7 linked regions of the Callithrix jacchus genome follow. The protein of the gene in region 2 interacts with the protein of the main gene of each other region in a biochemical or structural test. Links are inferred from orthologs where the notes say so. Each region holds a gene or a part of one and is shown on either strand. Other genes may lie near its edges.

Region 1 (4,043 bases), on a different chromosome or scaffold from region 2:
GAACATCTTTTCTTTCCACATTTTCAAATATGAAAAAGGCTTTGTTTAAATCTCATTGTACCACCAGTGATAGCATTCCCTTCTGTTTGAGCTTAAAGTAAGTCTGAGCAGCTCCAAAGGGAGACATTTTCATGAAATTTATGAACCCTCTCAACCAGAGTTGAGAATTAGTGCAACTTCCTTCGAACGATTTGTCAAGTGAATACTGTAACTAGACACAGAAAGGGATAGTCATCCCAAGAACAAGGTACTATTTTTTGACTTTCTAACTCCACCTGGATACAAAGGAGATGCAGAACCACACTAATCCCAGGAGAACTTCATAGATGCCCGAAGGTCTTACACTGAGCTGGAAAACGGAACCACCTGCTTTCCGCCCACATAAACCTCCTCAATATTTCGATCATCTCCTGAAAGAAAAATCAAGGAATCATGTATAAAGTCCTTTTGAGTCAATAATTATCTTCATTGCCATTGAGAGAGATTTTTTTTAAAGATACTTTTAGGAGAGGAAATACCAAAAGCTGCTTTCCCCCCACGCTCAGGTTTATAATCTGAACAGGAAGACATGATCAGTAGAAAATGTCATGGCTAATTTCATGATTAGGGTCTGAATTCCGCTCCCGAGGCAGAAATCACATAAAGTTGAATCAGCCCCCTTTAGCTGTCCTTTCTCAGCTAACGTGGTTGGTTTATATTTTGCCCCCCGTGGAGAAAGAAATACTTTACACATTTCTTACACTCCAGAAGCAGTTCCACAAGAAGTAACACATGTGTCTGTCCATCTCAAGCTCACTGAGCTCACTCAACAGGATGGGAAGTAGAGTAGAATCTTCTGCATTACTGTTTCTCTCAGTGAATGGAATTGAACGTGAGTACATTACAAGCACATTTATGAACGCTCTCAACCAGAGTTGAGAATTCATGCAACTTCCTTTGAACAAAGGTGAGACTTTGAACACGTGGTGAGACTCTACTATGTATTTGTCACAAAAACATGGTAAGGCAGAATGTCAGATACTGAATGAGTACAAGAGGAATGAACATGAAAATCTCTTCCCCTTTGGCCTTCTATTTCTATTTCTCAGCTTAGAACTTATGACTAGAGAAAGTCATGTGCACTTCAAATAGAACCTTTAAATAATATGCCACAATGGGCTTAATGCTTCAGAGTGTTTAAAAAAATGAATCAAAGCAAATTATCATACATAGAGTTTAATATATGGCATGATAAATACAGAGAGCCATAGCCAAGAAAAAGACAAGACAAGGAAAGATTTTATTTATTATTTAGCATAGAGACATACATTCACCTACCTAAATAGAGGAACTTCTGGATAACAGCCTAAAATGGAAAATAAAAGTAATAAGAAAGAATAGTTTGTGCATTTAGAAAAGTAAATTCACAGCTGACAATGGTTGGCAAAGCCCAGAAATATGAATGTACTTCTCAATGGCAAAATCTACTTCTATTAATTAAAAAAGAAATAACTACGTGCTTTAATAAAAAACCTCCCAGAACAACAAAACAATCCATTGGCAATTAACAGTTTACCTATTGCGTGAAAGTTTTGGGTATGTAACTTTAGAGTCATCATGGAAAAGGTATTATATAAATTAAAGAAATTAATTTAGTAAAATAATTCAAATATTTCAAGAGGTGTATGTTGTAAGACAAGCTTGTCCAATCTGCTTTATTGTGTTGTTGTTCTGTTTGGTTCTGTTTTCGGCTTTTAGCAGCCTGAAGCCATGGTTTATAGTTTCTGTCTCTAGTGATAAGCAGAAAAGAGGGGTGAGGGAGGGGACTTTACCGGCCCAACCAGAAACAGAAACTAAGAACCTGTGACTGTATTCTCTCCCTTGGATACCCCTGATGTAAGAAAAATGACTAAAACTATTCCCTAGAGCCCTATTCCCAGAAATTAATTTTAATAAGAGAGTAAAAGAATAAACAATATAAAAATAATAATGGGATCAGGACTATCCTCAAATCAAAAGCAGGGAGGTCATTCGGACCCTCCCCTCACCCCTCACCCCTCACCCCAATGCAGGTTATAAGACCATCATGTAAAGGGTGTCCTCCTTATAACTGACCTCTGAAGACAAAGGGTCGCAGAGAAGAATCTGAACCAACAGGTCTTGCTAAGTCCCTTCTAGCTTATTACCACTGGATCACACTCTTTGTCCTATCATATTTCTCTACAATGCTCCACTCTTCATCAAACCTAGCATAAAAATACCCAAGTTTACCCATTTCTTTGGGTCTTTGCTTCCTTACGAAGGAAGTCAGTTAATGTGAAGAATTTAGCAGACACATAAAAATCAGTCAGATACTGTTTTCAGATTTCCTAGGATTTTGGTCTCCATAATTTAAGTTCATCACATGACTTCCCTTTCTTGACTTTGGGTTGTCTAGTGATGGCCTATAAAGTTCAAGTTAAGTTCTAGCTGTCACTTATTATCTGTAAGACCTTAGGAAATTAATTTTCTAAGGATTAATTTCCTGATTTCTACAACAATAGTAACTAGCAATTACAACTATGTCTATTAGCTGGGCATGGTGGCACATGCCTGTAGTCCCAGTTACTTGGGAGGTTGAGGCAGGAGAATCACTTGAACCCAAGAGGCGGAGGTTGCAGTGAGCTGAGATTGCGCCACTGCACTCCAGCCTGGCAACGGAGCAAGATTCCGTCTCAAAAAAAAAAAAAAAACAACTTTAATATGATATATTTATTATCACATTTACTCTCATAAGTAGATCAATTTAGAAATGGCAATAGTTAATTCTTTTTTTAGAAAGAGCTCAATATCTTACAAGAAAGTATTTTTTCAAGTAAGATTAACTAGTTTATTCATAGGAAAACATTTTATGATAAAGCAACAAAGTTCATTTTCTTATAAAATTGAAAACATTGACATAACAGAGTGGTCAAGAGCCTCGCCTCTGGTAGTCAGAAAGCTCCAGGTGTGAGTCCAAACTCTGCCTACTAATCACTGGCTATGAGTCTTCACGTAAATCACTTAACCTCCCTTAAGCCACACTGCCTCTATAAATTAACATGACAACATTAATAGTACCTACTCCCTTAGAGTTGCTCTGATGATTGAACAAAATTAGGTATGAAAGTGCCTAATCCCATGCCTAGCCAGCACATAGCAAGTGTTCAATGAGTTCTAGTTACGTTCAAATATACAAACACATTCAAAATAGAAAAGTTTTGTTAATACCATTATTTTTAACATTGCTGTCATAAAATTACAATAATTATCAAAGGGCTCTAGTGTCCCTTTGAAGAGTTTCCTGCATTCCATTAAAATGTTTCAGTTTCTATTTTCTTTTATAGAGGGAAGCTGTTAGGCGACTTTATGAAATAAATGCCTTTTGATTAACTTTCTTTTTCTTACCTCAGAAATATCACCAAAAAAATCCCCATAAAACAGGTCAATGGGAGAGTCAGATGCTTTGGGGTTGATCAGGAGGGCATCAAATTCCTTGCCCACTTCAAAGTTTCCTATCTCTCTATCCAGCCCCAGGGCTACAGAGAACAAGGGAATAAACAGTCAGGATTACAAGCCATCACACCACACTAATGTCTCAGTTTGTAAGGACAGATCCTGCCAACATGTCGCTAGGAGAAAAAAAATTTAGTATCTTAACAGTGAGACAGAAAAGCGCTCTCATTCTAATAGGTCACAAGACTTCTACTTACAAAAAGTAGAGTAACCACAGGAAAGCAAAATCTGGGAATAAAAACAGTTCCCTTCATCACTGTATTGCAATTCTGATTTGTCTCTATTTCAGCTCTATTGGTGCACTTCATAGCCCAGCTGGTTTATGCTTTTCATTTATCCCTCTAAGAAACATGATGATTAACATAATACCTTTCCTCTTTTTCCCTTCTATTCTCCTCACAACACTTCAACTCCTTGCCTTGCCTTTCTTGTTCTTTCTGTTTCATGAAATAGCTGACAAGATTTATTTTCATGGCAGTGAAATGAACCTTGCATAAATAAAAAATAATTATCTTTTTGCATATTTGTCA
Region 2 (4,904 bases):
AGGGGTGGACCCCTTGCTGCACATTGACCACCTCCTGTCTCGGCTACCTAATGGGGGTGGACTCTTTGCTTATTGCACACGTGATTGTCTTGACCCTATCACTATCCTTAAGATGACCTCACTCACTACCCTTCCCCCTAACCTATACCTAACGAATACAGATGTGCCTGGACGCTCAGGGCATCGCCTGTCTCCACTTGTAAGTGGCGTTGGCCCCCGGAGCCCAGCTGTCTTTATCCAGTCCTTTGGTGTCCTGTCTCCTTATTTCTTGGATCCAGTGCTTCAGCACAGTGATAGGGGACACTCCAGGACCCTAGTAGGGCTGGACCCTACACCCGACCTCAGGTGATCTGCCTGCCTCGGCCTCCCAAAGTTCTGGGATTACAGGGTTGAGCCACTTTTCCCGCCGAAAGTGATTATTTCTATAGCATAGGGATTCACAGTTTACCACGTGTCTTCACATTGATTTAATCCTCACACCAGCCCTGTGAAGTAGATATTATTATGAGCCACATTTTATGGATGAGGAAATTGGGGCCTAGAGCAGTGATGTGAAGGGACCAAGGTCGACTTGGAGCTAACAGAGCAAGGATTAGAAACCAGGTCTCCAGACGCCCAGACCCAGAGCCCCACCTTGCAGTCCTCTTCCCACACACTAGGAGTTCGAGATTTTTCTGCCAGGCCTCAAAGTGTGGGACTTCAGGTTTTTCTATCCTCGACTGTTAACAGAGCCAGGGATTAATCTCTTAAATTTCCCTCCAGTTTTGAAGTGGGGATCCTGCCTAAGCCCTAAGCGGAGCCGGCAGCTCTCTCCTCCGGGGGCGGGGCCCGTTACATCTGAAGCCACGCCCACTATAAGCCACGCCCACAGACCAAAGCCTCGGTTACCCCGATGCGAAACCAGCTTCTTCCTCCGCTCTCCAACTAAAACTCTGCCTGTAGTCTCTCGCGGCTCAGTATCTACCTTTTTTGTTGTTTGTTTTTGACACAGGGTTTCGCTCTGTCACCCAGGCTGGAGTGCAGTGGCATGATCGCGGTTCACTGCAGTCTCAAGCTTCTGGGCTGTCATCTAGGCTTCCCAAACTGTTGGGATTACAGGCGTGAGCCATCGCGCCCGGCCGATGTCTACCTATTAAACTCAAGCCCTGGAGTCCAGAGCTCCGCCATACGCAGCACGACGCCCAATGCTTCGCACCAGGATACGTGGTTCTGTCTCTTTTTCATGCGCTCCCACGTCCGCGAGCTACAGTCTCGGCCCTCGACGGACATTCCTAGCACAGAGACCCCTGAGCTGGATCACTGGGTTACTCCCCCGAAGAGAAGCCCCGCCCCCTGACTCCCCGCCCAGCACCACGCCTCCCAGGCGTCTCGCCTTACTTCGTGGCCCCGCCCCGCTCCTTCTAAGCCGCAACCTAGGTAGTTCCACTCGGAGGCCCTCGGCTCCCGTGCCCCGCCCCGGCCTCCTGCTCCTGCCCGAGGCCCCGCCCTAAGCGCTGGCCACACCCCTGGTAGCCCCGCCCCCAGAGCTCCTCCCCCAGCGGCCAGGGTAGGGTGGCGGCTGGCCCAGCCGGGCCCCCGCTGCCCTCTGCCCCGGGTGCTTGGTAGGAACGGGCAGGGCACGGCGGGACAGGGCGAGCACGGAGGTCCGGGGTCTCGGAGGCGAAGATGGCGTCCGGCAGGCGCGCCCCGCGTACCGGGCTGCTGGAGCTGCGCGCCGGGGCGGGCTCGGGGGCCGGCGGCGAGCGGTGGCAGCGAGTGCTGCTGAGTCTGGCGGAGGACGTGCTGACCGTGAGCTCCGCCGACGGCGACCCTGGCCCCGATCCCGGCGCTCCGCGGGAGCCGGAGCCCGCGCAGCTGAACGGCGCCGCGGAGCCAGGCGCCGGGCCCCCGCAGCTGCCTGAGGCGCTACTGCTCCAGCGGCGCCGCGTGACGGTGCGCAAGGCCGATGCCGGTGGGCTGGGCATCAGCATCAAAGGTGGGCGCGGGACACCAAGGGTACGGGGTCGCGGTGTCTGGGGACCGCTGAGGGCACAGGGGGCTGGCAGCGCGCCCAGGACATGGAGGCCTTCTGTCTGGGGGTAAGGGGATTCTGAGGAAACAGGTAACAGAGGGCACTGGGCGCACCAAGGTCGGAGGGGGTTTCTGTAGTTGGTGACCTTAGGGGGCACGGTAGCTACTGGTGTGGAGGATATTGTGGGAGCACCAAGGACACGTGGGTGGGGAGTTGTGTGTGGAGGCGTGGGGGTCTGAGTGGCAACCAGCATGAACATCAAGGACAAGAGGGGTCCCCCAAAAAGCAGAGAGTGGAGAAAGGGAGTTGAGGCTGGGACACCGGTGGAGCAGGGAGCAGGGAGTCCCTGAGAAGCAACCAAGTTGGGCGCAGGGCGGAGGCCTGGAGTCTGGGAAGCACAGGGGTGGATAGGAGGCCTGGGTGCAGGCACAGGCTGGGGTCACAGAGAGAAGGCCAGCAAGGCCTTAGGAATCGAAGGACCCAGGAAGGCTATGGGGAGCCCCGACAGCTGGATTTGAGTCTCCTGGTCTGAGTCACCTTGCACAGGATAGAGAGAGCTTTCAGCCCCCAAGACTGACCACTAGTAGGGTGCAGGTAGAGTGCAAACAGACTGCGTTTGAGTCCAGGACCAGCTGTGTGAGCCTGCGCAAATCCCATCCCATCTCTGAATCTTAGTTTCCTCAACTGTATAAGAGGATGATAGAGTTGTGACTTCTGAGAGCAGGGCTCACCACACCAGCACATTGTAGGTGCCTAGTTAATTACTGCTGTTAGCGGAGAGGAATATTGGAGTCCAGGAGATACTCCCAAAGCTACTAAACATAGTGCTTAAAATCCTTGCACAACCCCAGCTGCTGGGCTCACTATTCCTGCCTATCTGTTTCTCAGGGTTCCAGCCTCCAGCAGGGTGCTTTGGGAAAGGGTGTCAGCCTTTTTCTGCACCTTGAATATGAACTGTCCCCACCCAGGTCTCCCCAGTACTGATTCTGTTCACTAGTGCCTCCAGACCCTTTGGCTTGGCTGAGGCAGTGAGGATGGTAGTGAATGCCACCACTGCGTGCCATGTGTGGTGCCCAGGACACTAGTTTCATGATCCATTTTATCCTGGCAACAAGTGGTGAAAGATAGGGAATATAATCCCCACATCACAGGTGAAGAAACTGAGACTCAGAAAAGTAAAATGATTTTCCACGATTACACAGTGGGTGTCAGCCCTGGGATTTGAACCTTAATTATCAGCTACTGTCCCCTAGAGAGTGCTCAGGGAAGTTGATTCTTTCCTGCAGAATGGCAGATCCCCAGGCAGCCAAGAGGACCTAAAAAGGGGAAATGGGAAAACGAGCATATGGGCACCAGTCTTACCCCCAGTCTCCAGCATGGGATGGGACAACAGACCAATCCAAAAATTATATACTCAGTGTGTCACAGCAGGTTGTTTATTTATTATTAATATTTTTGAGATGGAGACTCACACTGTTACCTGGGCTGGAGTGCAATGCCATAATCTTGGCTCACTGCAACCTCTGCCTCCCAGGTTCAAGCAATTCTCCTACCTCAGCCTACCAAGTAGCTGGGATTACAGGTGCCCACCAACATGCCTGGCTAATTTTTTTTTTTTTTTTAGTAGAGAGGGAGGTTTCACTATATTGGCCAGGCTGGTCTCGAATTCCTGACCTGATGATCCGCCTGCCTCTGCCTCCCAAAGTGCTGGGATTACAGGCGTGAGCCACTGCGCCTGGCCTGAACTTATTCATATAGAGTTCCATTCTACAGATGGACACACTGAGACTCAGAGAGGAGCAGACTTTCTAAGTCACACAAAGTTCCCCCCCAGCTGCATACTTCTAGGTGGAGGGAGACTTCAGGTACTATCATAGGATCCAAATCCTTGTGGATGGAGACTGGGCTCCTGTTGTCATGGTAACCCATCCTCTAGAGTCTAGCTTAGTCTGAGGCAGCCATGAGTGATCATAGCTTCCAACCGAACTGAAACCCCTAGTTTCAGATGGGGGAGGACAGATATAAATAGAAACCCCTTTCTCTCCTAGACTTCAAGCTCTGTGCAGATAAGCAAAGTGTTGGGCCTGTGTGGGGGTCAAGAGAGGTGTTCCAATCCCAGCTCTGCCACCAGCTTGTGTCACCTTGGAACAATGACCTCCCATTCTGGGCCACTAATTCCTCATCTTCAGTATTCTGGGAATGAGCCAGGAGTGTGATATTTGAGGGCCTGACGTGCCATCTATCGTAGGGTGAATAGTGTTGGTTCTGGAGCCTGGAGGCCTAGGTGCAAATACGGGCTTCGCTACTTACCAGCTGAGTGACCTTGGACAAGGGGCTTCCCTCCACACTTCAGTTTTCCTAATAGGAAACTGAGCATGCCTATGAGATGGGGTATTGTAAAGACGCAATGAAACAACATTGAACGCATTCAGCACAGTGCTTGGCATTTGATACGTGCAACTAAGGTGAAGGTGAACTGTTATTACTATTTCTTATTTTTAAAGGGCTTTCACAGTTAAGTAATAAAGCGGTTTAGTAAAATGTATTAGCTTCTTTTGTATCCGATATGTAATTCAGACAGGCTTTTAGAATCTCTAGACTTTAAGGCTTTGGTTTCCAGCCTGGACCTTGGGTTGTAAAACATTATGATTGCTAAAGCAGTCTTTTGAGGCCATAGGAATAGCTGACTGCTATCTTGATTCCAGTTTGAGGGGTATCAGTGGATTCCCACATTGCTGCTTTTTTTTTTTTTTATGAGACAGAGTTTTGCTCTGTTGCCTAGGCTGGAGTACAGTGGCATGATCTCGGCTCACTGCAACCTCCACTGCCTGGGTTCAAGAGGTTCTCATGTCTCAGCCTCCTGAGTAGCTGGGATAACAGGAGTGTGCCATCA
Region 3 (4,281 bases), on a different chromosome or scaffold from region 2:
TCCAAATATGGTTACTCAGACTCACTGCTCGACCCCAGTTACTGTATTGAGCTTGAGTTCTGACCCTCTGCTCTTTTATGTTTCCATCTTGAGTGATGCAGTTGAGAGTTCCATGTCTTTTTATATATGATTTTGGAACAAGTTTCTCCATTTATACTTTAATTTGGGTGTGCTGGGTAAGTGCTGGACATCCTAATGTCATCCTTCCAGGTAGCCACGCCACAAAGTACAAATGATATTTCCTTATTTCTAGTAGAACCCTGAAAATGGGATGGCTGGGTCCAAGGATAAGTTCATGTACCTAGGCGTGGTGGCTCACGCCTGTAATCCCAGCACTTTGGGAAGCCGAGGTGGGCAAATCACCTGATGTCAGGAGTTCCAGACCAGCCTGGCCAACATGGTGAAACCCCGTCTCTACTAAAAAAATACAAAAATTACCCAGGGTGGTGACAGGCACCTGTAATACCAGCAACTCAGGAGGCTAAGGCAGGAGAATCACTCGAACTCAGGAGGTGGAGGTTGCAGTGAGCCAAGATTACACCACTACACTCCAGCCTGGGTGACACGAACAAAACTTCATCTCAGTCAATCTGTCAATAAATGCATGGACAGTTTGGCTAGATATTTCCACACTCTTCTCCACAGGAGATGGATCATTTTGGACTTCTGTCTGTTTCCCCACAGCTTTGTCAACAGAATGCATTGTCATCTTTGGATACAATTTTCTATACTGTTTAGTCTCTTACCACCTTTTTTCCTTTGCAGACAGAGAATGTCCCAGCTACACTCTCAGAGGAGAACCGTTCTGAAGGAAAAGTTGGTTTTAAGGCCTATAAGAATTACTTCAGAGCTGGTGCTCACTGGATTGTCATCATTTTCCTCGTTCTCCTAAATGCCGCAGCTCAGGTAAATAATGACATTTGTTTTGTGCCCTCAAAATGATATTTACAGTATATTAATATAAATTTATTTATGCTCTTGTGACTGCATCTTGCCGTTCCCTTGGGGTCTGCATTGAAATGTGCTGTCTTTGGGGAACAAAGTGAGAGCTGCCTATTGGTGTTTTATGTCCACTACAAAGACCTTCTGGGGAAAATAGGGTATCTTTCAATGATTTTTAAATGGAATATGCATTTTCCTGAGCTCTTAATATCTGGGAGTTTGGGCTTGGCACAGGCCTGAGCTGGAAGAACTATGCAGGTTCTCCTCTGTGGCCTTTCTTTTCTTCTTCTTTTTTTTTTTTTGAGATAGAGTTTTGCTCTATTGCCCACGCTGGAGTGCAGTGGTGCAGTCTTGGCTCACTGCAACCTCCATCTCCCAGGTTCAAGCAATTCTCCTGCCTTAGCCTTTTGAGTAGCTAGGATTACAGGCATGTGCCACCATGCCAGGTTAGTCTAATTTTTGTATTTTTAGTAGAGATGAGGTTTCGCTCTGTTGGCAAGGCTGGCCTAGAACTCCTGGCCTTAAGTTGATCTGCCCACCTCAGCCTCCCAAAGTGCTGGGATTACAGGCCTGAGCCACCGCAGCCGGCTGTGAGCCTTTCTTTGCATTGTCCCATGTTAGTGATGAAGAGTTTTGAGCCGGTAATCATGCCAAAGTTTAATTTTGTCATCGTGGTTTCTCTCCTCCTAGGTGGCCTATGTTCTTCAAGATTGGTGGCTTTCGTACTGGTAAGTTATGTCTGGTCTCATGTATGAAATACTTGAGAATCACTAAGAAGACTCAGTTTTCCATAGAGTAGGGGGAGAGGGTGGCGTTTGTTCATCCTTCTCTTCTAATCCTCACTTAGTTTACCCAAAGAAAAATTAGAGTGCTTGCTGGTGGAGTGTAACCTGTGGTGGTCTCCACCCATGTCTGATCCTCAGCATCATGTTCACAGACAGTTTCGGGAACTGAAAGTCGTGATTTAAATTGAATTTTTATAAGGTAGATACACACAGGACTATGTGAGCTGAGAATCATTTTCCAACATGAAGCATTTCTCTCAAATTGAGGTTCATTTTTTTAAAAAATGTGTTTATCTAGATTCCATCAATAGCTGAATATTTTTTTCTCCCCGTGTTCCATAGGGCAAACAAACAAAGTGCTCTAAATGGCACTGTAAATGGAGGAGGAAATGTAACCCAGAGGCTGGATCTTAACTGGTACTTAGGAATTTATTCAGGTAAAGTTGAATCATTTGGTCTATTATATGAGAGGTTGAGGTGCTTACAATGAGCCTGTGTGAGTAGCTAGGGCTTCCAGGAGTAATTCAGTAATGTCTTAACAGATTAGGAGTCTCAGTCGCATTTACTCTGTGAATTAATTAGAATAATTATTCTAAAAATCGACTAGAAGAAAGAGGTTGAATGAAGACTCTTAATTTGCTCTGTACTGGATTTTGAAAGTTAAACCAGGATTGAGCATTCAGAAAATCAGCCACTGGAAATATGTGGCTATTGTCTATTCTAATAGGTTGCTTTAGCTAAATCTTATATCATTATACGGATGGGCAGGGGGATTAGAAACGGATCCCCACCCTGTGGTTCGGATTGTTCCAATTCTGTCTAAATAAACCCTGGCTTTTATTGAACTTGGATGAAATCCTCTGGCAGCAAGGCCCCCAAAATAAAAGCATTATTCCCTTCCAGGTATGCAAAGCTCCCTTCAGCACTGCTCATCTCTTGGGCTTCACTAATTACTTAAGAGGGAAGCTGAGCAGGGAAAAATCCAGTGTCTGGGAATTAGGACGCCTTCTATTTCTTACCTTGAGATCACAATGTTATCGCGTCCCCAACTGTGTGATTAATTTAACATTTGGCTTGCCAGACTAATATTAACGCCGTACTCTGTTTTCACAAGGGTGCTTAGAATGTATGTGGCATTACGTAGTGTTTCAAGGAAATCCTCATCTAAAATTTTAAGTATTTCCACAGGAAATGCTCATATAAGCTTTCCTCAGAGATAGAATGAGTTGTCTTTGTAAGAACCTACTCAGTGAAATTTAGTATTGATTTCATCGATCGCTTGCTAATAAATCTAAATCCATTAGGTGTTTACCTTCCTAATTGGCAGACTGTGTGAAAACTCAAGGAAGAAGGAAATCGGTTCTATTATATGTTTGTGTAGGATGGGAGGCTACAGATAATGCCCACTGATGGAGTTAGGAATTTGAGCTGCTTTCAGAGGTTAAATAACAGTGACATGTCATCGGAAAGGGAAATATTTGTTATAGAAGTAACCCCCACTGTACTGAGCATTGGGAGTTAAGAGATGATAGGAAAGCTCTTTTAATTTCTGTGTGAATAATGGATACTCATTCATGTCTCAATAAAAACGTATAATTTATTTTATTCATTTAAAAATGTCTTGTGTCTATGTAAAACATGTAGTGGGGGATTAGTTGCTTATTTAGATTAATTATCTTATATTAAAATATGATTTGTGTTTTCTTGCAATTCAATTATTCAAGAGGTTTTCCACATGCAACTTAATATGGTATTTTTAAATTCTTTAAAGCTACTTGGGCATTTTCTACAAGGAAAAGGTAAATCATTTCTCCTATTCCTTGTTAATATCACCTGTTGGTATCAAAACATACCACCTTTTTTAGATTACGGGACATAATGTAAATAATAAGATTTGGAATATGGAGAAGATCAACTATATTTCATGATTATCTATCTTACTTCTGAGTTGTTAATAGAACTTACTGTTGAATTAGGAAAGCCTAGAATGAAACTGTATTATACATCTGGTTTTTCTTTTCTGGGCAGTTTCTATTCGGTGAGAGAAAAATAAACTATTTTAATTCTTCTTCATCAGTGCATTTTATAAATATGTTATACTGTTATAGAATCCAGATACTTTATGGAATAAAATAAGTAACGTTTTTATGAACTATCTGACTTGCTTTAGCACTATTGAAGAAAATGCAGAGATATGCTGTGTTCTCTAAGTGATATTTCTTTATTTCAGGTTTAACTGTAGCTACCGTTCTTTTTGGCATAGCAAGATCTCTGTTGGTATTCTACGTCCTTGTTAATTCTTCACAAACTTTGCACAACAAAATGTTTGAGTCAATTCTGAAAGCTCCAGTATTATTCTTTGACAGAAATCCAATAGGTAAGTCTGACACCAAGTTTCTCAGTAAATATGTCTTGTTAACAACACATTTAGGATCTGATTACATTTCCGTCTTTGAAAATGGAAGGGATGCTTGGAAGAAAATCACTATGCATGTTGATTAATTTTCTACAAGATGCTTCACTGATATTATTCTACTGCCAGAGAAAATCTGAA
Region 4 (4,281 bases), on a different chromosome or scaffold from region 2:
TGCCTGGGAGGTGGAGGTCAGGAACGTATCCCTAATGTATTGCTAAATTTAGAAATTAGGCTACTAAATAATGTGGATGTGTGTGATTTGTGTGTTTTTGTGCTCTTGTGCTGGGTCTATTTGTGTGTGTGTGTGTGTGTGCACATATGAGTGCACACATGTGTGTTCATACATGTGTGTGCATGTGCCTGTGTGTGTATATCACATATGTGCAGGAAAAACCAACTAGAAGGACATTGGCAGGTGTCACTTGGGACGAAGGGCAGGACCACCTTGGAAACCCCTCCTGCCCTCTCCTTGTTGCTGCCCCTTCCTTCTCCCAGCGCCCCCATAGCCCTCAAGGATGCAGGTGATCCGGAGCAGCCCCGTTGCTGGGTAGTGGGCATGAACTGAAGCCCTCGGATTGGTTCTGGGTTTCCGTTTTCCTGAGTCCCAGGCCAGGATCTGCTGGATGCACAGGAGGGAGGCTTTTCAGCAGGGCCGCACCAGCCCTAGTCCATACAGGCCTGTGGTGGGCTGTGTTGGCCTCTCAGGATGGGGTGGGGAAAGCACTGCAAGAGCTCCGTGGAAAGCAGGGTGGGTTCTGGTTTCAGGGCCGGGGTTGATCTTCATCATCTACCCGGAGGCCATTGCCACACTCCCGCTGTCCTCAGCCTGGGCCGTGGTCTTCTTCATCATGCTGCTCACCCTGGGCATCGACAGTGCCGTGAGTAACCTGTGCCACTGAGCCCCATCCTTGGCACTTTGGCTCCTTCCACCCAAGGGGGCCCTGCCCTCCAAGGGTCAGGCAAGACCCCTGGGCTCACAGACGGCCCCCAGACCTCCCGTGCTCAACTCAAGTAAGCCCCACGATTATTTGGGAGACCTTTCTTGGGGCTGGGGTAAATGGTGACTGGAGTTTAACTTTTCCTTTATCACTCTACTCTGGGGTACCTGTGTGACCTGCCCTAAGCCACCTACAGATCCTGGACATGTGCATGCACACACATGCATGCACAAGCACACACATGCACACATCCAGCTGCTGGGGGTGGCGGGTCCAGCCCTTGATCAGCCCTGGACCAGCTGGACTTCCCTGTCAGCTCCTTCTTCCCTGTCAGCTGCTTGGAACCCAGAATCCCTTTCCACATAAATACTGGTTGTGCATCCAGCCCCCACTCATCTCCTACCCAGCTGGGCCACAGCCCCTGAGTTGACCACAGGCCTCGTGTTCCTGATGTAGGAGCATGAAGGGGGGTCTGGACTAAGCAAGGCAAAGAAGGTCACTAAGCAGGAGTCAGGTGCCTGGATGGCATCCCATGGGAGAATGCTGGGAGTCAGGAGGCTCCACTGGGGAGGTGTAGCCAGTGACTGGGCCAGGTGCACCCAAAAGCTTTGCGTGTGGGGGTCATCTTGCTAGGGAAAATTTTGCCAAGCCAAGCCTGTGCAGTAGTAGTGGACAGGGTGGTGGTGTTTTAGCTATGCCACATCTTACCCATCCAGAGACGTTGACGAGGCTACAAATCCCCTACCATGGATAGTGTGGTCCCTCTGGGTTTCCCCTACTGTAGATAGCATGTTCCCTCTGGGTCTTCCTATCATGAATAGAGTGGTCCTGCTGGGTTCCCCCCTACCGTGGATAGAGTGGCCCCTCTGGGTCCTCCCTACTGTGGATAGAGTGGTCCCTTTGGGTCCCCCCTACTGTGAATAGAGTGGTCCTGGCTGGGTCCCCCCTACCATGGATAGAGTGGCCCCTCTGGGTCCTCCCTTCTGTGGATAGCGTGGTCCCTCTGAGCTCACCCCTACCGTGCATAGCGCAGTCTGTCTGGGTTCTCTCTCCTGCGGTCGTGCCACCAGAGAAACCCTCGCCAACAGCCATCCTCGCTACCAGGCGTCCTGCACCCTGGACAGCCATGCATCCCCTTTTCCATGTGCATCCCCGGGTGTGCGTCCACTGAGTAGATCTCAGCCCAGGCTGCAGTGAGCAGTGCCCCAGCCTGCAGCCTGACCCTGTGCTCTGTGTGCAGATGGGCGGCATGGAGTCGGTGATCACCGGGCTCATCGATGAGTTCCAGCTGCTGCACAGACACCGTGAGCTCTTCACGCTCTTCATTGTACTGGCAACCTTCCTCCTCTCCCTGTTCTGCGTCACCAACGTACGTACCATTGCCGGCTTCACCTTCTCCTGGTTATGTCTCCTTAACATGTGGCACAGGGCGGCCTGGCTGGGACTGTCAGGTCAGACAGAACCGCAGTGCTTCCAGGAAGCTGTGTCCCCACCCACCCAGAAAATGACTCATACGCACACGAATGCACACACGCGAGTGCCCAGGGTTAACTGCACATCCGGAGCTTGATCCCAGTCACTTCAGCACCTGGACAGCTCCCCGGAGTGTGCGTCCCATGGTCACTTCAGCACCTGGACAGCTCTCTGGAGAGTGAGTCCCATAGTCATTTCAGCATCTGGACAGCTCCCCCCAGACGCGTTCAAGGCTGAAGCTGCCTCCCTCTAGGGCTTGGGGATTGGGGGACACTGGGGCTGACAGAATCTATCTATATGGTAGGAGACCCCAGGCCACCTCCTCTCCACGGGAGGCACTGCCAACTTCCACATTCGGTTGCTTCCATTTCTAGTTGCACGTGAAGCCCTAGGAAAGGAAAGGAGAGATCATTTTTATTTTATTTTATTTTTTGTAATAGAGGTGGCCCTAAGAAGCTGCATGTGGATTGAATTTTAGGGACTGAAACCAGAGTTTGCAGTGAGTGAAACAGAGCTTGTGTGTGCAGTGTGTCCCCAGGCCGGGCTTACCTTTGGGAGCAGCCTTCCCGCAGGTCCACAGGATCCTTCTCTTCCAGGGCGGCATCTATGTCTTCACGCTCCTGGACCATTTTGCAGCCGGCACGTCCATCCTCTTTGGAGTGCTCATCGAAGCCATTGGGGTGGCCTGGTTCTATGGTGAGTCCAGGAGAGGCAGCCAGGCTGGCGCCCTCTTGTTTGGTGGCTGTGCCACTCCCTATCTGACAAAGCCACCATGAAGAAACACCTTTCAGCTGCAGGTAGCCTGGGTTGGGTTCATCACAGCTTCACAGAGGGGAGAGGCTTGGCACTGGTCCCTTTGATGGGATCAGTGAGGTGCTTAGCTTGGATGGCAGCCAGAAGACACACACTGTGGTCAGAGGTGTTCACAGTGGCCAGGTGGCTTCAGCTTCCTCCATGCAAGAGGCATAAGCGAGCCCACCCCACATAGGGGAACACAATCAGATCCATGCTGGGGGCTTCAGCAGGGATGTGACACAGAGCATTTCAAAGGTGCTGTTATGGCCTTCTCTGCTGACCAGAGCTCCAGAGCGGTCAGGCCTAAGGGTCAGTAGGCAGCCCTCCAACAGGGCGCAGCTCCTGCCCACTGTGCCACCCCAGCTGTGTCCTGGAATGTCCACTGGTGGTTTAAACAGCAACGAACCCAGCCTGGCAGCTGGGCTACCCTTTCCCCGCATGCTGACCTGGCAAGCCACCTCCATTGCCCTGAATTCTGTCTTCTGTAAAATGGGGCTGTGATGCCAGCTCTGCTCACCTGGCCGGGTGGCTTCAGGGGAGCAGACAAGGCCTAACAGGTGCATCTCTCCAGCCAAAGCTGAATGTCTCTGATGCTGTGTGAGCCCCGGTTTTGAAGGACACCTAGCTCACCTGCATACGAGGGGTCATTGTCTCTGCCTCAGAGCTGTGGACTTTATAGCCAGATAAACACACTGGCTTGGAGACAAATAGGACAAATAGCTCCTATCCTGAGAATATTGTTTTCAGTGTTGTTGTTCTACAGAAAAGGGAAATGTCAAACTCGTGCTTTCACGGGTACTTGGAACCAATACTTTATCTATCACTTTAATTGTAATCTCCCCTGAACAAAACATAGAGCTTCACAGAGGAAGGAGAAAGTGCCTCGAATTCACTCCAGCACCATGGTCTCTGAAACCATGGGAGGCGGGGAAAAGCTGTCCCTGGCGTCCCGCACCTCAGAAGACCAAGCTCTGTGTTATATTTCCAAAGAGGAATCCAGCACCTCCTCATCTAAATGAAACAAAATCTATGCTCTAATAAGATATGCTGGAATACACCAGGCTTCCACTGCACCGAGGTCCTGCAGGTCTTGGAGCTGATGCCACCTTCTCCGGCAGGGCCCTGGGACCTGCTGGTGGGAGGCTGAGTGGCCTTGGGGATGCCCCCTTTTGCTGCTGGCCTCACCTGTCTGCGTCCCCACTCCCTCCCAAGTCCATCTCTCACGTCGAGCTCAGATCCCCAGGTGG
Region 5 (4,281 bases), about 83 Mb from region 2:
GCATCTTCAGGTGGCTAATATCAGGATCCACATTGGCCCTCATGATGAAGTCCCTGTGCTAGTCCCACTTTAGTCTGACTCCCACTCCCCACCACGCCCCTCATCCTGGCCCATTCAGAAGTCACCTGAGCACAGCCAGCTGTGGTTCTCTCTCTGTCCTCTTAGGCTAAAGTCACACAGTTCCAGGAGCTCGGGCCCAGAAGGCAGTCGAAGGCACTGGGGCATTGGCCCCACATCCCAAGGCCACAGAGAATCTGGTTGGTTTGCCGTCAGTCCTGGGGGTGGCCCCCGCCACTGCTAGGGAGAGCGTGGTGTGGGGCCAGGGGTGATGCTCTGTGCCCAGCACCTGTGCAGCAGTAGCACCTGGGCCTTGCAGGCACATCTCCCAGTCCCAACAGAGCCTGCACGCCCACCTCCCCAGCTCGGCTGCTGGGCAGGCAGGAGGTGAGGAACGGCCGGCCGGCCCAGGGAGGGGCAACTGCCCAGCACCCCGGGGCTGCCCACTGCAGCTGTCCCGGCTACCCATCCTGGTCTCTGAGCCCAGGATGCGAGGATGGCCAGACCGTCTCTTGCCACCGTGGTGCCTCTGGGCCCTGAGTGCCTGCGCCCCTTTACCCGGGAGTCCCTGGCAGCCATAGAACAGCGGGTGGTGGAGGAGGAGGCCCGGCTGCAGCGGAACAAGCAGATGGAGATTGAGGAGCCCGAACGGAAGCCTCGAAGTGACTTGGAGGCTGGCAAGAACCTGCCCATGATCTATGGAGACCCCCCGCCAGAGGCCATCGGCATCCCCCTGGAGGACCTGGATCCCTACTACTGCGACAAGAAGGTTCGGGCCTGGGAAGCCTCCCTCTGTCTGTCTGCTGTCCATCTGTCTGTCTGTCCCCAGGCCTCACAGCCTCTCTCCCCACCTTAGACCTTCATCGTTCTCAACAAGGGCAAGGCCATCTTCCGCTTCTCCGCCACACCCGCTCTCTACATGCTGAGCCCCTTCAGCATGGTCAGGCGAGGGGCCATCAAGGTGCTCATCCACGCATATCCTGCCAGAGAAGGGAGAGGCGGGAGGGCTTAGGGATGGGCGAGATGGGGTGCTCTGGGCCAGGAGACCCGCCATCACCTCCCCTCCTAGCTGCTTCGTCACTCTCCTTGACCCTGCCCCACGCTGTTCAGCATGTTCATCATGATCACCATCTTGACCAACTGTGTGTTCATGACCATGAGTAACCCGCCTCCCTGGTCCAAGAATGTGGAGTGAGTCTCCCCCATCCCTGAGCTCCCCAGCCCTGGGACACAGACCATCTCAGGTGTCTGCACCTCTGCGTGACACTGCTCTTGTCTTTCAGGGAGACACACTGTCACCGTGACCCTTTTCCACACCTTGAACCCCCGGGGTGGCCACACTATCACTCGATAGTGTCCTTAGCTGCTTGGGTGGCATATTTTATTTCTGGGGGTCTGTCGTTGCCACAGTCATCCCTGCCTGTGTGACATGCCTGCCCTGGCCGGCCCTCTTCCCCCCAGGTACACCTTCACAGGGATCTATACCTTTGAGTCCCTCATCAAGATACTGGCCCGGGGCTTCTGTGTCGATGACTTCACATTCCTCCGGGACCCCTGGAATTGGCTGGACTTCAGCGTCATCATGATGGCGTGAGCAGGGGCCCGAGCCTGGGATGGGTGAGGGGAGGGGCCAGGCCTCAAAGAGGGCAGCTGCCTGTGCTGAGGGCTGCAGGGGACATTTGTCAGTTGTGCAGACAGGGAGCTGCACAATTCTAGAAGCTGCCATTCTCAGGGTCTGGCTCAGAGCTCTCCTGAAGGCCTCCTGGTCATCCCATGAATCAGCCCTGACCTGCAGGCCCTCACCCGCTAGGAGAGCCGGGCTGTCTTTGCCATCCCCACTCCCCCACAGCAGAGCTCATGCACTGTTCTTCCCAACTCCTGGGCTCCCAGAGGAGCTTTGAGGGTGTCTTACCTGCCCCCAGACCCTGTGGAACCCCCAACTTCTAGAGAATCCTCATTCCAGGCCTGGAGAGGCCCTGATTTCTGCCCTACGACCCACCCCAGGCTCTGACAGTCCCCACCTCACTCCACCCCCCTCCCAGGTACCTGACAGAGTTTGTGGACTTGGGCAACATCTCAGCCCTGAGGACCTTCCGGGTGCTGCGGGCCCTCAAAACCATCACAGTCATCCCAGGTACTGGGGAGGTGCAGGGACCCTCTGCCTGAGCTGAGAGATGCCACCACCCCCGGCCACACAATGCACCTGCCGGGAACCTGACTCAGGGTCACAACCCTCCCCGGCTGAGAACTCACAGCAAAGCCTGGACAAAGAGGGGCCCACGTGACCAGGGGGCAGAAGGGGTTCTATGTGGAAGAATGGCATTTGAGAGGCAGCATAGCAAGGTGGTTAAGAGCACAGACTCAGCTGGGTATGGTGGCTCACGCCTGTAATCCCAGCACTTTGGGAGGCCAAGGCAGGTGGATCAAGTAAGTTTGAAACCAGCCTGGCCAACATGGCAAAATGCCGTCTCTGCTAAAAATACAAAAGTTAGCCTAGTGTGGAGGCAGGTGCCTGTAGTCCCAGCTACTCAGGAGGCTGAGGCAGGAGAATCACTTGAACCCAGGAGACAGAGGTTGCAGTGAGCCTAGATCATGACACTGCACTCCAGCCTGGGAAAAAGAATGAGATCCTGTCTCAAAAGAAAAAAAAAAAAAAAGCACAGAGTCTGGAGCCTTGACTGCCTGGGTTCAATTCTCACCTCTACCACTTCCTAACTTTGCCTTTGGGCAAATGCCTCATCCCGTCTGTGTCTCAGTTTCCTTATCTATAGAATATGTAGACTAATAATACCACTCCTTGGTTTGTTGTAAGGATTAAATGTCTTAATGTCCGTAAGGCCCTCATAGCCCTTGACCCATGGCTTGTGATATACATGTGTGTGCTCAATAAAATAAGCAGACCAAGCAGAGCAGAGAGAGACACAAAAGGACTCCATGAGGGAAAGTCCCAGCCCTGAGAGCTCAGTTAGGAACACGCCACGCCCCTGCTGACCATGAGGCCAGGGCAATTCCAAAGTAATGCATCGAGAAACTGAATTAATAGAATCCGATCATTCAGACCCACAAAAGAGCAAGTAGAGAAACTGGAGATGGCCCAGTAGAGAGAAAGAAAAAGGATCGAGATCAGTCTCTGGAAAGAGGGGAAATTGTTAAATCCTAATGCAAGAAAGTACCTGAGGCCAGGCACGGTGGCTCACATCTGTAATCCCAGAACTTTGGGAGGCCAAGACAGGCTGATCACTTGATGTCAGAAGTTCGAGACCATCGTGGCCAATATGATGAAAACCCATCTCTGCTAAAAATACAAAAATTAGCTGAGTGTGGTGGCACCTGCCCATAACCCCAGCTACTTGGGAGGCTGAGGCAGGAGAATCGTTTGAACCCAGGAGGCAGAGGTTGCAGTGAGCCGAGATCACACCACTGCACTCCAGCCTGGGCAACAGAGCGAGACTCCACCTCAAAGTAAAAAAAAATGAAAGAAGTACCTGAGCTCTCTTCTAGTCTAAATAAAGCCCTCTGACTACAGCCAAGGAAGGTGAGGCCCCGGGAGAGGAAGCGCTTCCCAAATTCCATACTGCACGTTGGCCACTGAGCCAAGATGGCGTTGCCTTTCCTGTGTCAGCTGCTGGCGTCCTGGGAGCGCAAGAGTTCTTTTATAAGGAGTCTGCCAAGCATTTGTTTTCCATATCAAGATAAGAAAAGGAAATGAATTCATATTAAAGCAAGAGGCACTATGATTAGGCTCAAGAAGAAGTTATGGCTCTTGCACAGGTGATGGGAATCAGCCCCTGGGATTCTTTCAGCATTGTTTATGCCTTTGTCTCTCCAAAGAATGTAATGATGTTTCAGGGTCAGTCTAGCGCTTCTCAGAGTGAACCCTGCTGTTTCCTCAGGGGTTACTAGGTATTTTAAGGAAAAGGGTTCTGTGGTCAAATACGTTAAGGAAACGTGGAATTAAAGTTTTTGTTTAATAGTCCAGGCAAGGTGGGTGATGCCTGTAATCCCAGAACTTGGGGTGGCCGAGGCAGGCCAATTACTTGAGACCAGGAGTTTGAGACTAGGCTGGCCAACATAACAAAACTTCGTTCCTACAAAAATTCAAAAAGATTAGTTGGGGGTAGTGACACCCACCTGTAATCCCAGCTACTCATGAGACTGAGCCAGGAGAATCACTTGAACCTGGGAGGCGGAGGTTGCAGTGAGCTGAGATTGCACCACGGTACT
Region 6 (4,281 bases), on a different chromosome or scaffold from region 2:
ATCCTGAAAATTAGCCTTTAACCACTTTCAAAATCCATGGCCTCACATAGGCATGCATCTCTGGGCTTTAGGAGGGTCTCAGTAAGTATCCATCAGCTTGCTTTGAGCCTGCTGACCTATTCAGTTTTCTTGTTCATCTAAACCAGAGTTGGCAAACTATGGTCAATGGGCCAAATCATGTACTTGCAAATAAAGTTTTATTGGAACTCAACTCTGCACATTGTTTTACTTTCCTAAGGCTGCTGGAACAAATTCTCACAAACTTGGGAGCTTTACACAACGTAAACTTATTCTCCCACACTTTTGGAAGCCACGAGTTCAAAACCAGGATGTTAACAGGGTCATGCTCCCTTCAAAGGCTTTAGTGGAGGGTTTCTCCTTACCTCCTCGCACTTCTGGTGGCCACCAGCATTCCTTGTAGCTGCGTGACTCCAGTCTCTGCCTGTCTTCACATGGTCACCTCCTCTTCTCTGTGGCCCAAATCTCTCTCTGCCGTTGAATTTAGGGCCCAGGCAGACAATTAAGAATAATCTCAAGATCCTTAACTCTGCAAGACATTTTTCCAAATAAGGTCACATTCACAGAGTGAACATATCTTTTGGGGGCCACCTTTCAACCCATACACCAATTGGTAGCATCTATGGCTACTTTCATGTTAAAACAGCCAAGTTGAGTAGTTGCTCAATTGAATGGTTAGACCACAAAACCAAAATATGTACCATCTGGGCCTCCCTTTGCAGAAAATGTTTGCCAAGCCCTGGTCCAAAGCTGCCTTACAATGCAACTTTGCTGAACTACTGTTCCTCCCACGACAATCCACACTCACGTACACACTTCGCCCCACAGGCACATCCAGTCATAATCTAAATTGTTGTTTTTAATAAAATAATGCTGAACCCCCAACAAGGTTTATTTATTGTAAGGTAAGATGCAAATATGGCCAGTGTATAATTCAATGTCTTCAAAATTTTCTCTCTTACTGTTCATGAAAATACATTTTATTAAAATGACCCTGAGAATTGTTCAGCATTAAGTCCATTGCATGATTTGTGGGGAGCAGAAACCTCTTTGGTAAAACTGTACTTTTCCCCCATATGTCTTGCACATCTGATGTCAGTTACACAAACTTGTGCTATTTGAAGGAACAGATGGAAGAATAGTATGGCCCTAAAATTTTCTCAGAATGTTGCCTCTGGAATCTACAAGGCAGTATCAACAGAATGACCTAGTTCTCTGTCTTGTTAAATATCAGAGCAAATCCCCGCATCAAAATTCCAGATTGAAACACCCTTGAAGAGCAAACACAATAACAGTATTTCAACTGGGGTTTTTGTCATTTTAATTCATGAGGAACATCAAATCTTCAAGAGTTCCCATGATATAAATAAAAATGGAAATTAATCTAAATATTAATTATGCCTAGAAATTACAGAGAAAAGTACATTACCTGTAACCACTCCACCTTATGCATCTTATATGCATACACACACAGGCATGCATACTGACATTTATACAAGACTATTTTAACATCCACTAGGATATCAAAAAATTGAAGATAGAAGTTTTATACGATCATTACAATATGTATGTTACTTTCCTTAAAATATATGGTAAAACGGTGACAATCTTTGACCATCTCTGAACTCAATGAGGAAAACATTCATTATCTTCCTCCACAAACTAGGAAATATTGGATCTCACTTTACAAAGAAAAGGAAAATCTATTTTCTGGAATAACAGCCTACTGAAATCTCCCCTTTAAGGGTTGTAAAAAGCACGTTGTATATTCACATTCGTAGATATAAATGAAGCCTTTTAAGAATAGAAACAAGGGTCAGATGGAATTAAGCTATACTTCCCTACCCCCAGATGACATTACATTTGATCAAATAGCAATTCTAGTTTGTGCAGTATCAATATGCAGTATGGATTTTGTTAACGTTGGTTCTCCTAACCCAAGGAATGCTTACACCCAAATTGACAAGTACTATATTTGGGTAGCTGTAAACCTGTATTTACACAAGTGATGCTACAAGCCATGAAATTAAAAAACAGAGACGAGCCCCGTCCTCCACCCAGAACCAGACAGCACAGTAATGTGTCTTTGCATGATTCTTTCTCTTTAGGAACTGAAAACAAGGGGAAGCATAACCTCCTTGGTCCAGATTGGAACTGTATACCCCAAATGACAACCTTTATTGGCGAAGGGGAACAAGAAGCCCAGATAACATACATAGATTCAAAGCAGAAGGCGGTGGAGATCACAGACAGCACCATGTGTCCAAAAGAGCACCGGCACTTGTACATAGACAATGCCTATAGTTCAGATGGACTTAACCAGCAGCTGAGCCAGCCCGGGGAGGCCCCCTGTGAGGCAGACTACAGAAGTCTAGCTCAGCGGTCCCTACTGACCCTCTCAGGACCAGAAACTCTGAAGAAAGCACAGGAATCTCCGAGAGGAGCTAAAGTGTCCTTTATTTTTGGAGACTTCGCCTTGGATGATGGTATTAGTCCCCCAACTCTCGGCTATGAAACACTACTAGATGAGAGTCCTGAAATGCTGGAGAAGCAGAGAAATCTCTACATCAGCAGTGCCAATGACATGAAAGGCCTGGATCTCACTCCAGATGCAGAGGGCATCCAGTTTGTGGAAAATTCTGTGTATGCAAACATAGGCGATGTGAAGAGCTTCCAGGCCACGGAGGGGATTGAGGAGCCCCTCTTGCATGACATCTGTTATGCAGAAAACACCGATGATGCAGAGGACGAGGATGAGGTGAGCTGTGAGGAGGACCTCGTGGTGGGGGAGATGAACCAGCCGGCTATCCTCAACCTGTCTGGGTCAAGTGATGACATCATTGACCTCACATCCCTACCACCTCCAGAAGGTGATGACAATGAGGATGACTTCCTGTTGCGTTCTTTGAACATGGCCATTGCCGCACCCCCACCTGGCTTTAGAGACAGTTCAGATGAAGAGGACTCTCAGACCCAGGCAGCTTCCTTCCCCGAGGATAAGGAGAAAGGCAGCAGCCTGCAAAATGATGAGATCCCCGTGTCTCTCATTGACGCTGTGCCCACCAGCACCGAAGGCAAGTGTGAGAAGGGACTGGATAATGCCGTCGTCTCCACGCTGGGAGCTCTAGAGGCTCTATCCGTGTCAGAAGAACAGCAGACCAGTGACAATTCAGGTTCTTTCACAATTGTTACATTCATTCACTGATAACCATATCCTTCCATCCTTCCAAGCCATTTGCCCTTGGAGTCCTGTTACGTGGTGTTCTCCATTTCACACATGTCCCATTTCATAAATGTGCTGAAACTACCATCATGGGTTTTGTGTGTGTGTGTGTGTGTGTGTGTGTGTATGTGATTTTCTTTGCTTTTTTTTTTTTTTTTTAAAAAAACATAAGGCACATCTCTCCCCCATTTCTGGAACAACTGTGCAATAAACTCAGAGTCCTTACTGAAAAGGGAAAAACTTGGTATTTTCTTTTAATAATAACGAGTCCCATTTTCTTACATGTCTCCAAGTGCCTCTGATGCATCCATTAATCAGTTCTTGTTTTTTACGGCATGCAGGTGTAGCCATCTTGCGGGCTTATAGTCCTGAGTCTTCGTCAGACTCGGGCAATGAAACTAACTCTTCTGAAATGACTGAGAGTTCTGAACTGGCCACAGCACAAAAACAGTCAGAAAACCTCTCCCGCATGTTCTTGGCCACTCATGAAGGCTACCACCCCCTTGCAGAAGAACAGACCGAGTTTCCGGCCTCCAAAACCCCCGCTGGGGGCTTACCTCCAAAGTCCTCACATGCCCTGGCTGCTAGGCCAGCAACCGACCTCCCGCCCAAAGTCGTGCCTTCCAAGCAGTTACTTCACTCAGACCACATGGAGATGGAGCCTGAAACCATGGAGACTAAGTCAGTCACTGACTATTTCAGCAAACTGCACATGGGGTCGGTGGCATACTCCTGCACTAGCAAAAGGAAAAGCAAGCTGGCCGATGGTGAGGGGAAGGCACCCTCTAATGCGAACACAACAGGAAAAAAACAGGGGACCAAAACAGCAGAGATGGAGGAGGATGCCAGTGGTAAATTTGGTACTGTCTCTTCACGGGACAGTCAACACCTGAGCACTTTTAATCTGGAGAGAACTGCCTTTCGCAAGGACAGCCAAAGATGGTATGTGGCCGCTGAAGGTGGGATGGCTGAAAAAAGCGGACTCGAAGCAGCATCGGGGAAAACCTTTCCAAGAGCTTCTGGTCTTGGGGCAAGGGAGG
Region 7 (3,252 bases), on a different chromosome or scaffold from region 2:
CTCAATCAAAGGTCCTGCTTGCTTTTTCATTATCTAAAAGGTTTCTAGAAAAGAGTTTCTCTACAAATGATGGGGAAGGGGTGGAGAGGGGGCGCAGCTTTACTTTGAACCCTAACGTTGAATTTACTTTGAATTTCAAATACCATTAAAAGAGAGGTAGGATTTATGTAATTATGAAATGATGGCCTGGATTTTAGAAAGCTTGAGAAAGGCCATTCTAGGTCATTTTGTTTGTTTGCTTGTTTTTAGCTCACAGTTACCAGAGTTCGCTATGTGCTGAAAAGTGTATGCAGTGTTGTTTGTTTTGTCCCCTGCCCAGAATTCAAGACAACTATTTTACAAAGATTAAAACTTAAAGAAGCATTGTGGAATAAGGCCTTGTATGCATCCCCAGTTTTCTAAACTATACCTCATTATGATTTAATAGTGCAAGGCTGATCGCTAGTTGCTATCTCACATTCTAGAACAATTTGTGGTGAGTTAAATGCAATTATATGTGTCATAATTTCCTTTAATAAAGTTGATAATGATGGTGATGTTGAAACCAAATGTTGGACACAATTCTTCCTTATATTCATTTTAGCAAATAAAATGTTAAAATCTGAGGTTAATCCTCAAATTCTGTTCTTATATAACTGCACAAAAAAATAAACTTAATAAATCTAGCATTTATATTGCACATTTAATAGAAAAATTTTAGGCCATAATCACTGTAGCTGCTGGGCATCTTATTTCTTCAAGAATTCTTTCAGTGCATGCATTAACTTTGGTTAAATTTTTCTGGAGTTGAAAGGCAGAAGAACATATAAGATATATGATTTCAGAAGCATCATTGTAACAGACCAATTTCAAAAGATTCAGTTGCTAAATTTTACTTCATAGTTCCTTTGTAGATCAGTTATTTAGATTTTAAAAGAGGAGAGAATCATGTGATGTTATCTGCCTGGTCATTAGTCTCACACAATGAAAACAATAAAATAAGACTAGAGAAATCATTCTTCCAATGATTGTCATTGAACTGTTACATTAGCAAACATTCACAGTATGAAGTCTCTCTCAATCTCCAGCATATAAAGAAGTGCAAAAAAAAAAAAAATTCCAGTCCTGTTACCTGCAAACAAAACTTATTACATATTCTCCAATGTCATTTATTCTATAATGTTAGACATTTGCTGTCAAATCTTCCCAAAATTAATAACAAAATATAATCAATTTCTAGAGGCCCTTGCAGCCTTTTTAAAAGTTAATTTCCAGTTAAAAATAAACTTTAATTAAATCCAAGATAAAATTGTGACCTATATTCTATTAAATAATTTACTTTCTTTTTTCTCTACGCAGCAATTCTTACAATTTTTAAAAAACAACTACAGAATCCAAAGACATATGAGATGCTATTAAAGCACTGATAAATGACTGTTCAAATTCATTAGTTCTTACATAGTAAATACTTCAAAATGCCAACTTTTCCCATCACTGCACAATTACTAACATTAACAATTTACTTCACACACTCACACTCACACACACACTCTCTCTCCATTTTCACTAACATCTTTTCTAGTTAATGTGCAAAACTCTTGCATTCTAATAAAAATATAAAGATAGATTTGCTCCTATTTAAGCCTCCCTCTTCTCCAGGATATATCATTTATTTGATATGTAATACAAGTTTAGGTACAATTATGCCATGTATAACCATTAAATGGTGTACTACTGTATGCATTGGATCATTTGCATATTTCATTTTCATAACTGCACTCTCTATGCATAAATATATTTGGAGATGCTTGGGGGGGCAGTGGCAGGTGGAGAAAGCAATTCACACATCAGTCTCCACAGCCTTTGCATTAGAACAGTTGTTTTTATCTGTCTCACTGTCATCCCCCTTTCCCTGACACTTCTCCTCCTTTGCACACAGAGATTCCTTAACTCCTTCTTCCATCTCTAGATACTCTGACTTGTCCCCCAGGGAAGAAGAAGTAGAGCTCCGAAATTTCTTGAGCAAATTAGAGGGGAGGTATGGGCAGCTGACTGCATTCTGCGTCAGCTGTGTCTGTTCCTCATTTTCAGTTTCTCTGTGGTAGAAATAGTTAAAGTTAGAGACAATCACTGGCACTGGCAAAGCAATGGTTAAGACACCCGCAATGGCACACAGGGACCCCACAATCTTGCCCCCCACAGTGATGGGCTTCATGTCCCCATAGCCCACAGTTGTCATGGTCACCACAGCCCACCAAAATGCATCTGGGATGCTTTGGAAATGGGTATTAGGTTCATCCGCCTCTGCAAAATACACAGCGCTGGAAAAGAGGATGACCCCAATGAAGAGGAAAAAGATCAGAAGGCCCAGTTCCCGCATGCTGGCTCTGAGGGTGTGGCCCAGGATCTGCAGGCCTTTGGAGTGCCTGGAGAGTTTGAAGATCCGGAATACTCGGACCAGACGAATGATTCTGAGGATGGCAAAGGACATGGCCTGCTGCTGCTGACCATTGCCACCCCCCTGTTGCTGGGCCAGGTCGGTGCCCAGTGTGATGAAGTAAGGCAAAATGGAGACAATGTCAATGATGTTCATGATGTTTTTGAAGAACAGTGCTTGGCTTGGACAAGCAAAGCAGCGAACCACAAACTCAAAGGAAAACCACACAATACAGACCGTCTCCACGATGAAGAAGGGGTCATTGAATATCGTGTGCCCTGAGTTCTCCAGGTGGGGTGCTGAGGTGTCATTCAACAACCCACCATGCCCTCCAGCACTCAGTGCCATGACGAGATCCCTGTCGTCCCTAAACTCAGGCAAGGTTTCCAGGCAAAAGATGACAATAGAGATTAAGATGACCAGGACGGACACAATGGCTATGCCCCTGGCGGGACTGGAGCTCTCTGGATATTCGAAGAGGAGCCAAATCTGCTTTTTAAATTCATTCTCAGGGAGGGCCCTGTCCTCCTCTTCTCTCACAAAGCCCTCATCCTCCCGAAACTTCAACAGGGCCTCCTCCCCCAACTGATAGAACTTCACCTCCTCAGTGAAGATATCAAAGGGGACGTTGACTGGCCTCTTCAGGCGGCCTCCTGACTGGTAATAATATAAGATGGCATCAAAGCTGGGCCTGTTCCTGTCAAAAAAGTATTCATTGCGCAAAGGGTCAAAGTACTGAGTCCTCTTTTCAGGGTCTCCCAGCAAAGTCTCTGGAAACTGGGCCAGAGTTTTCATCTGAGTCTCAAAGCGTAGGCCTGACACATTTATCACCACAC

The links.
Region 1: the proteins of SNTA1 (region 2) and GDA interact in a test that uses a peptide from one of them, tested with the Homo sapiens proteins (2 studies listed by BioGRID and IntAct). The link is inferred for Callithrix jacchus from reciprocal best matches to the Homo sapiens genes SNTA1 and GDA.
Region 3: the proteins of SNTA1 (region 2) and ABCC4 form a complex in vitro, tested with the Homo sapiens proteins (2 studies listed by BioGRID and IntAct, with this or other methods). The link is inferred for Callithrix jacchus from reciprocal best matches to the Homo sapiens genes SNTA1 and ABCC4.
Region 4: the proteins of SNTA1 (region 2) and SLC6A3 interact in a test that uses a peptide from one of them, tested with the Homo sapiens proteins (2 studies listed by BioGRID and IntAct). The link is inferred for Callithrix jacchus from reciprocal best matches to the Homo sapiens genes SNTA1 and SLC6A3.
Region 5: the proteins of SNTA1 (region 2) and SCN4A interact in a test that uses a peptide from one of them, tested with the Homo sapiens proteins (2 studies listed by BioGRID and IntAct). The link is inferred for Callithrix jacchus from reciprocal best matches to the Homo sapiens genes SNTA1 and SCN4A.
Region 6: the proteins of SNTA1 (region 2) and FRMPD4 interact in a test that uses a peptide from one of them, tested with the Homo sapiens proteins (2 studies listed by IntAct, with this or other methods). The link is inferred for Callithrix jacchus from reciprocal best matches to the Homo sapiens genes SNTA1 and FRMPD4.
Region 7: the proteins of SNTA1 (region 2) and KCNA4 interact in a test that uses a peptide from one of them, tested with the Homo sapiens proteins (2 studies listed by BioGRID and IntAct). The link is inferred for Callithrix jacchus from reciprocal best matches to the Homo sapiens genes SNTA1 and KCNA4.

The regions. Positions count from the first base shown.
Region 1 is NC_133502.1:92,567,226-92,571,268, forward strand, and holds part of GDA (guanine deaminase), read right to left. Parts: intron 3,537-4,043; coding exon 3,406-3,536; intron 1,346-3,405; coding exon 1,318-1,345; intron 411-1,317; coding exon of another isoform or gene 340-410; exon of another isoform or gene 1-339. UniProt on the Homo sapiens protein: Catalyzes the hydrolytic deamination of guanine, producing xanthine and ammonia.
Region 2 is NC_133506.1:5,878,002-5,882,905, forward strand, and holds the start of SNTA1 (alpha-1-syntrophin), read left to right. Parts: upstream 1-1,536; 5' UTR 1,537-1,665; coding exon 1,666-1,975; intron 1,976-4,904. UniProt on the Homo sapiens protein: Adapter protein that binds to and probably organizes the subcellular localization of a variety of membrane proteins. May link various receptors to the actin cytoskeleton and the extracellular matrix via the dystrophin glycoprotein complex.
Region 3 is NC_133502.1:10,894,607-10,898,887, reverse strand, and holds part of ABCC4 (ATP-binding cassette sub-family C member 4), read left to right. Parts: intron 1-765; coding exon 766-906; intron 907-1,632; coding exon 1,633-1,670; intron 1,671-2,069; coding exon 2,070-2,164; intron 2,165-3,957; coding exon 3,958-4,104; intron 4,105-4,281. UniProt on the Homo sapiens protein: ATP-dependent transporter of the ATP-binding cassette (ABC) family that actively extrudes physiological compounds and xenobiotics from cells.
Region 4 is NC_133503.1:204,680,092-204,684,372, forward strand, and holds part of SLC6A3 (sodium-dependent dopamine transporter), read left to right. Parts: intron 1-593; coding exon 594-706; intron 707-2,006; coding exon 2,007-2,135; intron 2,136-2,835; coding exon 2,836-2,935; intron 2,936-4,281. UniProt on the Homo sapiens protein: Mediates sodium- and chloride-dependent transport of dopamine. Also mediates sodium- and chloride-dependent transport of norepinephrine (also known as noradrenaline). Regulator of light-dependent retinal hyaloid vessel regression, downstream of OPN5 signaling.
Region 5 is NC_133506.1:89,240,837-89,245,117, reverse strand, and holds part of SCN4A (sodium channel protein type 4 subunit alpha), read left to right. Parts: 5' UTR 1-10; intron 11-165; 5' UTR 166-553; coding exon 554-826; intron 827-913; coding exon 914-1,032; intron 1,033-1,158; coding exon 1,159-1,248; intron 1,249-1,518; coding exon 1,519-1,647; intron 1,648-2,099; coding exon 2,100-2,191; intron 2,192-4,281. UniProt on the Homo sapiens protein: Pore-forming subunit of Nav1.4, a voltage-gated sodium (Nav) channel that directly mediates the depolarizing phase of action potentials in excitable membranes.
Region 6 is NC_133524.1:12,935,399-12,939,679, forward strand, and holds part of FRMPD4 (FERM and PDZ domain-containing protein 4), read left to right. Parts: intron 1-414; exon of another isoform or gene 415-547; intron 548-2,126; coding exon 2,127-3,191; intron 3,192-3,582; coding exon 3,583-4,281. UniProt on the Homo sapiens protein: Positive regulator of dendritic spine morphogenesis and density. Required for the maintenance of excitatory synaptic transmission. Binds phosphatidylinositol 4,5-bisphosphate.
Region 7 is NC_133511.1:95,329,260-95,332,511, forward strand, and holds the end of KCNA4 (potassium voltage-gated channel subfamily A member 4), read right to left. Parts: coding exon 1,820-3,252; 3' UTR 664-1,819; downstream 1-663. UniProt on the Homo sapiens protein: Voltage-gated potassium channel that mediates transmembrane potassium transport in excitable membranes. Forms tetrameric potassium-selective channels through which potassium ions pass in accordance with their electrochemical gradient.